Linked DNA regions of Cricetulus griseus. The protein of the gene in region 2 purifies or fractionates together with the protein of the main gene of each other region. This does not show direct contact. Links are inferred from orthologs where the notes say so. Each region holds a gene or a part of one and is shown on either strand. Other genes may lie near its edges. The genes, in order: Plod1 and Hnrnph2.

The links.
Region 1: the proteins of Hnrnph2 (region 2) and Plod1 purify together in Homo sapiens (affinity purification with mass spectrometry; 3 studies listed by BioGRID and IntAct, counting the BioPlex papers as one, with this or other methods). This does not show direct contact. The link is inferred for Cricetulus griseus from reciprocal best matches to the Homo sapiens genes HNRNPH2 and PLOD1.

The regions. Positions count from the first base shown.
Region 1 is NC_048595.1:8,532,898-8,536,710, forward strand, and holds part of Plod1 (procollagen-lysine,2-oxoglutarate 5-dioxygenase 1), read left to right. Parts: intron 1-1,439; coding exon 1,440-1,531; intron 1,532-2,563; coding exon 2,564-2,697; intron 2,698-3,068; coding exon 3,069-3,232; intron 3,233-3,813. UniProt on the Homo sapiens protein: Part of a complex composed of PLOD1, P3H3 and P3H4 that catalyzes hydroxylation of lysine residues in collagen alpha chains and is required for normal assembly and cross-linkling of collagen fibrils.
Region 2 is NC_048604.1:45,490,517-45,494,661, forward strand, and holds the end of Hnrnph2 (heterogeneous nuclear ribonucleoprotein H2), read right to left. Parts: intron 3,876-4,145; 5' UTR 3,784-3,875; intron 3,723-3,783; exon of another isoform or gene 3,622-3,722; intron 2,757-3,621; 5' UTR 2,704-2,756; coding exon 1,354-2,703; 3' UTR 563-1,353; downstream 1-562. UniProt on the Homo sapiens protein: This protein is a component of the heterogeneous nuclear ribonucleoprotein (hnRNP) complexes which provide the substrate for the processing events that pre-mRNAs undergo before becoming functional, translatable mRNAs in the cytoplasm. Binds poly(RG).

The DNA.
Region 1 (3,813 bases), on a different chromosome or scaffold from region 2:
AGAGTGTGGCTGTGACCTGTGTATGGTGGTGCAGTTCTGTAATCACAGCCCTTGGGAGGCTGAGGCTGGAGGATTTTGTTCTCTTGGCTTTAACTCCTGTTGTCCAGTGGTAGGGGAAGGGGAAGGTCTTACCTGCCTGCCGATGGCCTGCCTGGGATTTGGAGGGAGTTGTTGTTGTTTTTTCTCAGGGGGGTATGTTCTGTTCACCTAGGTAAATGGGAGTCCTGAATAGTGGGCCTGTCCCCCAACCTCCAAGGGCAGAAGTCTGAGTGGCATTCATAGGTTTTGACAGTGGGAAAGGGAAGGGTACTATGATTACTGGCCCTGGGATTCTGGCAAGAAGCCAGCAGCAAGACTCAGGCTGAAGAGGAGCATACACAATCCAAAGAATGAGCCCGCCTCTGGCTGCACAGAACCATGAATCCTGGGCAAGGCATTCCCCTCGCTAGTCAGCCCCACTGACTCCTGTCAGTGTGTGCCAAGTGCCTAGCAGCCCTGAAGGCAGGCACTTTATTGGCCCTATCGCATGAGTCTCAGAGGGGCCAGGGACTTGCCCTGGGTCACAGTTTGCAAGAGGCAGTGCAGGGGTCTAACCAGGCAGGCCAGCTTCTGGTCCCCACTTCTCAGACATCACAGCCTCCCAGTGGGGTCTAGAGGGGCCTCTGGGGGCTCTCACCCACAGATGAAGTCGTGGGAGCTGCTTCTAGCACGTTCTGCTGCAGAGGTGAAGTCACACTGCAGAGCCTGGAGAGGTCCCTTGTTGAGAATGTATTAACAAAGCCAGGCTTGTTGAGTGTGGCAGTGCATGCCTGCACCCTCTGCATTTGGGAGAGGGGACAGGAAGATCAATAGAGAAGGTCAAGGGGAGCTTTGTTACCCATTGAGCTGGATATGGGGCTGGGTTACATGAGACCCCTTTTCAAAATGAGAGGGAGGAAGACAGGGAAGCTAGAACCAGCTGCTCTGGCCACAGACACTGACGGGTGAGGGGATTTCAAGCCGGTTTCCACCCCCAGGCAGCCTGAACTGTAATCATGGCATTGGGAGAGTCAGCCATGCACGCAGGCTTGGGGAAGAGCACAGTGAATGAGTGTGTCCGCCCTCAGTGTACGCATAGAGAGCAAGTGGCCTCATGAACTCTGCACTTGCCTTCCCCGCTCTAATGCCCAGCACTGGCCAGAGAGATCCCCCATGCTCAGCACTCAGGACCTCTCCCTCCATCCCCAGGTGATGCCTGCAGCCTCTAAAGCCAGAGACTTGGTTTCAGAAGGCAGGGTGCAGACGCCCTCTTCTGGGTGCTGCCTGAATACAAGGAGCCCAGGGAATGTCCCAGCTCTGTCCTTAACCCACTGGATGGCCCTGGGCAGAGCCTGAGCCCTAGTCTGTAGTGGTGTGATGACGAAGGCCTCTGTTCAAGACTCATCCTTCTCTGTCCACAGACAACCTTTTGGTCCTCACTGTGGCCACCAAAGAGACAGAGGGCTTCCGCCGCTTCAAGCGTTCAGCCCAGTTCTTCAACTACAAGATTCAGGTGAGGGCTTCCTGGGAAAAGGAGAGACAGTGTGTGTGTGTGTGTGTGTGTGTGTGTGTGTGTGTGTGTGTGTGTGTGTGTGTGTGTATGTGTGTGTGCACGCATGCGCGCCTTGTGAGTGTGTGGTGTTGGGGGATCTAGGGCTTCTCCTTCCCAAAGTCAGGGCTCTTGGAACAGACTCGGGTGCCAAGAGGAGAATGAGTTAGGGTGAAGGGCAGAGTGTGAGCAGGTTTTTGGAGGTGAGAGGGAGAATGGTGTGGAGTGGTACCTGGATGGTCTTGGAAGGTTAGTGTGAATGGTAGGGCCTGGGGACCAACATTCCCACAATCCCCTGGGGCATGTTGGAATGGATGTGGTCTGAAGTCCCCCGGAGAGTGTACACCGTCACAAAGAAACATGTCTGTCTGCCGGGCGTGGGTTCCGTGTCCTCTGTTGGCAGCTCATGGGGCCCAGCCCTGCAGGAGTCAGCCCTCCTTCCCTTCAGCGGACCATTCTGAGCACTTGTCTGTCAGGCACAGTGTTGGGCCCTGGGGACAGAGATGTACTCAACGCCGGCCTCAATATGGCCTACACAGAGCTAGGTGTGAAGCCAGGCAGAAAGCTATCAGCTGCTGTGGATCGTAACGAAGCAGGGAGTTGCTTCAGACAGCTGGATCCAGGGTCCCAAGCAGCAAAGAGTTTCATTTTTCTGTCTCCAGAGACAGATTTTCTCCATCGTGGTAAGGTGCCCCAGACTTCTGCACCCCAACTTTGCAACCTTAGCCCATCGTAACAACCTTGCCTTCATTTTGATACAACAGCCCCAGGGAAGACTTTGATAGGGGGTGTTACATCTTCAAAGCTCGAGCTACAGGAGGGGCAGAGGAATGGGAGGTAGTGATTGGCTATCCCTGGTCACGTGACCACCACTGGCACCATCATCATCACCCGGTATGGTTTCCCTACATTGGGTTGAAAGGAAGCAAAGATGTCCACTCCCCAAACTGGTGGAAGAATATTTCTCTACCAAAAGCTGGGGGCCTCTCTCTGCAGGCCCTGGGCTTGGGGGAGGACTGGAGCGTGGACAGTGGACCCTCGGCAGGCGGAGGACAGAAGGTTCGGCTGCTGAAGAAGGCGCTGGAAAAGCATGCGCACAAGGAAGACCTGGTTATTCTCTTCACTGACAGGTGGGTGTGCTGGGAACTCCTGCTTGCATCCCTGGAGTACAGGGTGGTGTTAGGGGCAGGGGGTCCAAAAAAGACCTGGACATTATGTGTAAGGGAGGCTCCCTCTAACTAAGCTTATCCAAGGTCAGGAGACCCCAGGATGAGTCTCTCTGATGTAGGCCAATACTCCTCTTGGTGAAAGATGGGAGGTGTAAGCTGCCGGAGATGACACATGAGCCATGTGTCATATGACAAGGGCATGCGTTATGGGGACAGTGTCTCTGCCCAGCGTAGGAAACGCAGCAGACTGAGGGAGGGGCTCCTGATCCCTGTGTCCTTCAGTGGGTGCCCTCTTTGGACCCTGCTTCACCTTCTCCCCGCTTTGGCCACAGTTACGATGTGGTGTTTGCCTCGGGGCCCCGGGAACTCTTAAAGAAGTTCCAGCAGGCCAAGAGCCGGGTGGTCTTCTCAGCTGAGGAACTCATCTACCCCGACCGGAGGCTGGAGGCTAAGTATCCGACGGTGTCTGATGGCAAGCGGTTCCTGGGCTCCGGAGGTAAGAGCTATGTGCAGATGTGCACATCGCTGTGAGACATGGGTTCCAAATGCACACAGTCTCAAAGACAGCCTCTCAGGGATGGATGTCTTCCTCGCTTTGTTGAAGAGCCAGCCGTCTGTGCGGGAGAAGCTCAGTCACCCTGACTCCTTCACCTTCCAAATCTCTTCCTCTTCCCAAAGATCTCTAGAGTCCAGTAGCCCAGGCTGGGCTACATGACACTGTGTGTCAAAAAATTTTATTAAAAAGACAGGACTAAAACAAAACAACAACAACAACAACAATGAAAAACCAGGGCTAATGAAATTGCCCAGTGGGCATAAACCTCTTGCCATCAAGCCTGACAATGTGTTTGAACCTTAGACCCACATGACGGAAGGAGAGAAGCAACTCCTGCAAGTTGTCCTCTGACCTACACACACACACACACACACACACACACACACACACACACACACACACACACACACACACGTACACACACACACACACAACTCCCTCACACATACACACACACACACACACACACACACACACACGTACAACTCCCTCACACATACACACACACTCTTATGCTCACA
Region 2 (4,145 bases):
ATGTAACCCCAGTGCTGTGGGCAGCAGAGACACGGGGATCACTGGAACTTACTGACTGCCAGCCTAGCTGCAGGCTCAGTGAGAGACCTGTTATCAGGACAATATGGCAGAGAGCAATAGAACAGGGTACCCAATGTTTTTCTCTGGCTTCTACCAACACTCATTTACATGTGTGTACACATTCATTTGAACACACACACACACACACACACACACACACACACACAAAACAAATAAATAAATAAATAAATCCAAATTTAGGCTTTGGATGTCGCCCTGTTGGTATAGTGGCTGTCTTGCATGCAAGAAGGTGTGGGTTTGCTCCCCACCAAGGCATAAACTGGAAACAGTGCCACATGACTGAAATTCCAATACTTAGGAGGTAGAGGCAGGAGGAGCAGAATTTAAAGGTCATTCACAGCCTGGAATATTAGAGACCTTGTCTCAAAAAAAAGGAAACTGAAAATTTGCATTCCCACTGCAGAGAACTTTTAAAAAGTTAGTTACCATGTGCCCATGTAACAGAACATGATTTAAGAAAAATCAAACTATACAAGATTTGTCCAGTTTTTAAAAGGAAGATTTATTTAACAAGTTTCACTTAGTACAATACATCTAAATGGAATTCACAATACAAGGTAAGATTTAAATCAAAGCCTCAGAATTCCATACAAACAACATGACCAAACTCCTAAAGTATTGGTACTACATCTCAAAATTATCCCAGATCTTTTTAAAAAAAAAAAAAGTGAAAGTGTACACTCACGTGCCTTACAGGATATTAAACCAAAAAGCTAGAATTAACAAACATGCCAAATGTTGTCACTTTGAATCATAGACACAGCTCCTATATTTGATTTTTACAGAAAAGCATGTTTCTCAACATGCATCTGAAGGCTTTGATGTATTGTGGTATAAGAGCAACATTTAACGTAAGTGAAACTGCTTTAAACCTAAATATGCTTACTGCTTAAGTACACTCCTACAACATAACTAACTTGAGGAAAGCTGAAAGTGGATTTAACAGTTATGGTCAATACTGAACTTGTTATTACATCCTAGATGAATATTTCAGTGTTCAAAACTGCTGAGCTTAAAGTTTGAAAACAATCTTAACTTTTACTTTACAGTAAGCATGAATCACAAGCTTGTAATGCAAAACTGTTAAACTTAAATTTTGTTCTTAAAAAAAGGAGAAAAAAAAAAGAAAGAAAGCTGACCGATAGTGATCAGAAGCAACTTTATTTCCCATTTACCAATCATACTGGATATGCTTGGTATCCTTCCTACTCTATCCAGTTCCTATAAATGCACAGCTTTTATTCCTGGAGCTGTTTGGTGTTCCTTCTTTCCCTAAGCAAGGTTTGACTGATAGTCACTTGAGTTTTCCTGAAGAACTTGGTCATATCCACTCATACTGCTCTGACCACCATAACCACCACCATAACCACCACTCAGCTGCTGGCTGGCAGGACCTCCATAACTAGACTGGTTAGATAAACCCATCCCTCCCATCATCTGGCTGCCATAAGCACCACCGCTTGCCCCTGCTGTAGAATTCAAAAACAGTTCTACGTAGCTATGATCGTAAGCTCCTCCACTTGTCCCTGCAGTAGAATTCAAGAAGAGCTCCACATATCTATGCTGCATATTAGCTTTATCTTTTGCCATAGCTGCCACAGCATCTTCATGAGTAGCAAACTCGACATCTGCCTCACCTGTAACTCTGCCATCGGGTCCTATTTCAATGTGTACTCTCATGGGATTAAGAGGTGAGAAAAAATTGTAAATATCATTCTCAGTGGCTCTGTATGGTAACCCCCTCATGTGTACACAGTGCCCTGTGGTGCTCTGGAAACTGGACCCACCATCTCCATATCTATGATCAGACATTCCTGAGAAACAGTAGTTTAGGTCTCTCCCAAATCTATCAGACCCAAAGCCATACCCGTCATTATAGCCTCCATAGTCATCATAGCCTCCATAGCCTCCACCATAGGCACCCCGCCTCATTCTTTCAAATCCAGCTCCTCTACCAATGCTATTATACCCTCTTCCAGCCCCTGGCCTATCATAAGGACCCGGGCGCTGCATAGTCATAAGCTTTCGAGGGGGATCATAGTGAGTTCGGACTTCAGCTCTGCTACTCTTGAAGATTTCAATGTACCTGTGCCCTATTCTTTCCTTGTGTTTCTTTAAGGCCTTTTCAGCTATCTCCTGTGAAGCAAACTGCACGAAAGCCTCCCCTGTGCTTCTCCCCTGAAAGTCCACTGGCAGTGTCATCCCATTTGGCACAATTTCCAACCCTGAAAAGAACTGAACAATTTCTTCCTTGCTACAGCCAAATGGGAGTCCTCTAAGCCGTACAAAACCATCATTGGCAGTATCAGGACTATTTGGACCTGTATGCTTTAACACCCAATCCATTTCAACACTGTTGGACTTGAATACTTCAACATATCTGTGTCCCATGGTTTCTCTGTCTTTCTTTAAAGCCAATTTTACTTCATCTTCAGATTCAAGTTCGACAAATGCTTCACCACTTGGTCTGCCTTCTCTGGTGTAGATGAAACGAACACCTGATGTACCATTTTGGATTTTGCAATCAGAGAAGAAGCGCATCACTTCCTCAGCTGAGCAGGACCAGGGTAGGCCCCTGACCTTCACCACGAACCCCTCCCTGCCCTCTGTGCTCAGCATCATGGTGACTGTTGGGCTCTTGGTGGCAAGCTTGGCTCAACGCAATTTCAATGTGGCTTTAAAAAAATTAGAAAACTATTGTCATGAAAAATTATACACAATAAGAGAAACAAAGAAAACTATTATTATAGAAGTTCACATCAGTTACTTTTTAAAAAGATAGCCACATTAACAAAAAGACTGCATAAAACTTAATTCACTCACTTAACAATTACTCATTCCATTTCTATTATGTATCAGGTATAATTAATAATGATTATTTCTGGGTAGCAGTACAATAGGACTTGTTTCCATGAACATATACATGGAAAATATTAAGACATTTTTTGAATATTTTAAATTTTCTGCACTGGCCCAATGCATTAACATCATAGAGAAAATTAAAATTAAAAATAAATAAAATATAACTATATCTCATTATATAAAAATCAAAAATTTCTTTAAATCAAAAGACAAAATTCATAAGATACAAGTCCATTAATATCCCAAGAATATAAACAATGCATGCAAATCAGTAAAATACAGAACTATTAATGCCTAAGAGATAAATGGGAAAAAAAACATTGAAAACATTAATGGGACTTTACATATGCAAGCATGCTTTAGATGTCAGGTCTAGTACTCATTCTGACATGTAAGAATCAATGAGTCCAGAAAGGGCTTACAGTCCTACAGGAGAACTGTATGCCTTTACCAAAGGAAAGTGCAAACAGATAAAATAAAGGAAGGACTGATTGATGAAGTGTTATCAATTGGAGGCAGAATGGTTAATTGACACAAACTATTCTGATCCTGTTCAGGGATCCAGAAACAGTTTATAAAAATGTTTAATGGAGCACGAAATGGAAGGGGACAAAAAGCAAAGGACAGGGCTGTCAAAAAGAGATGAGATCCTGAGGGTCTGATTTAATAGGAGGCTAGACTCTTCTCTGGTTCACAAGCATGATGATTCAGTATTCACAACACTGTGTGACATGTGCCTCCCCCAAACCTTAAGACATTGGGACTTTACCGTTCTGATGCTGGGTGTGGAGAGGGGAATATATATATATATATATACATACATATCTATATATATAGCACCTTTTACGGATCTTAAACAGGAGTGATGTCATTACAGCCCTTTCAGACTTATCACCCAGGCAACTGGAGCATTCAAACAGAAGGAAGGGGGACTGGATGAAAAGAGCAAAAGAGCAAATTAAAGAATGACCTCTTAGAGATATGACAAGAGATTCACTAAAATAGCAGTAGAGGTAAGGAAAAAAATGTGATCTGCCTAAATAAAAAAGTGGAATCTGCAGCAGGACTTGACAAAAACATTATGGGTATTTTTTTTGAGACAGGGTTTCTTTGTGGAACAGTCCTAGCTGTCCTGGAACTCTCTCTGTAGACCATGCTGGCCGTGAACTTTCAGAGATCTGCCTGTCTCTGCCTCTGGAGAG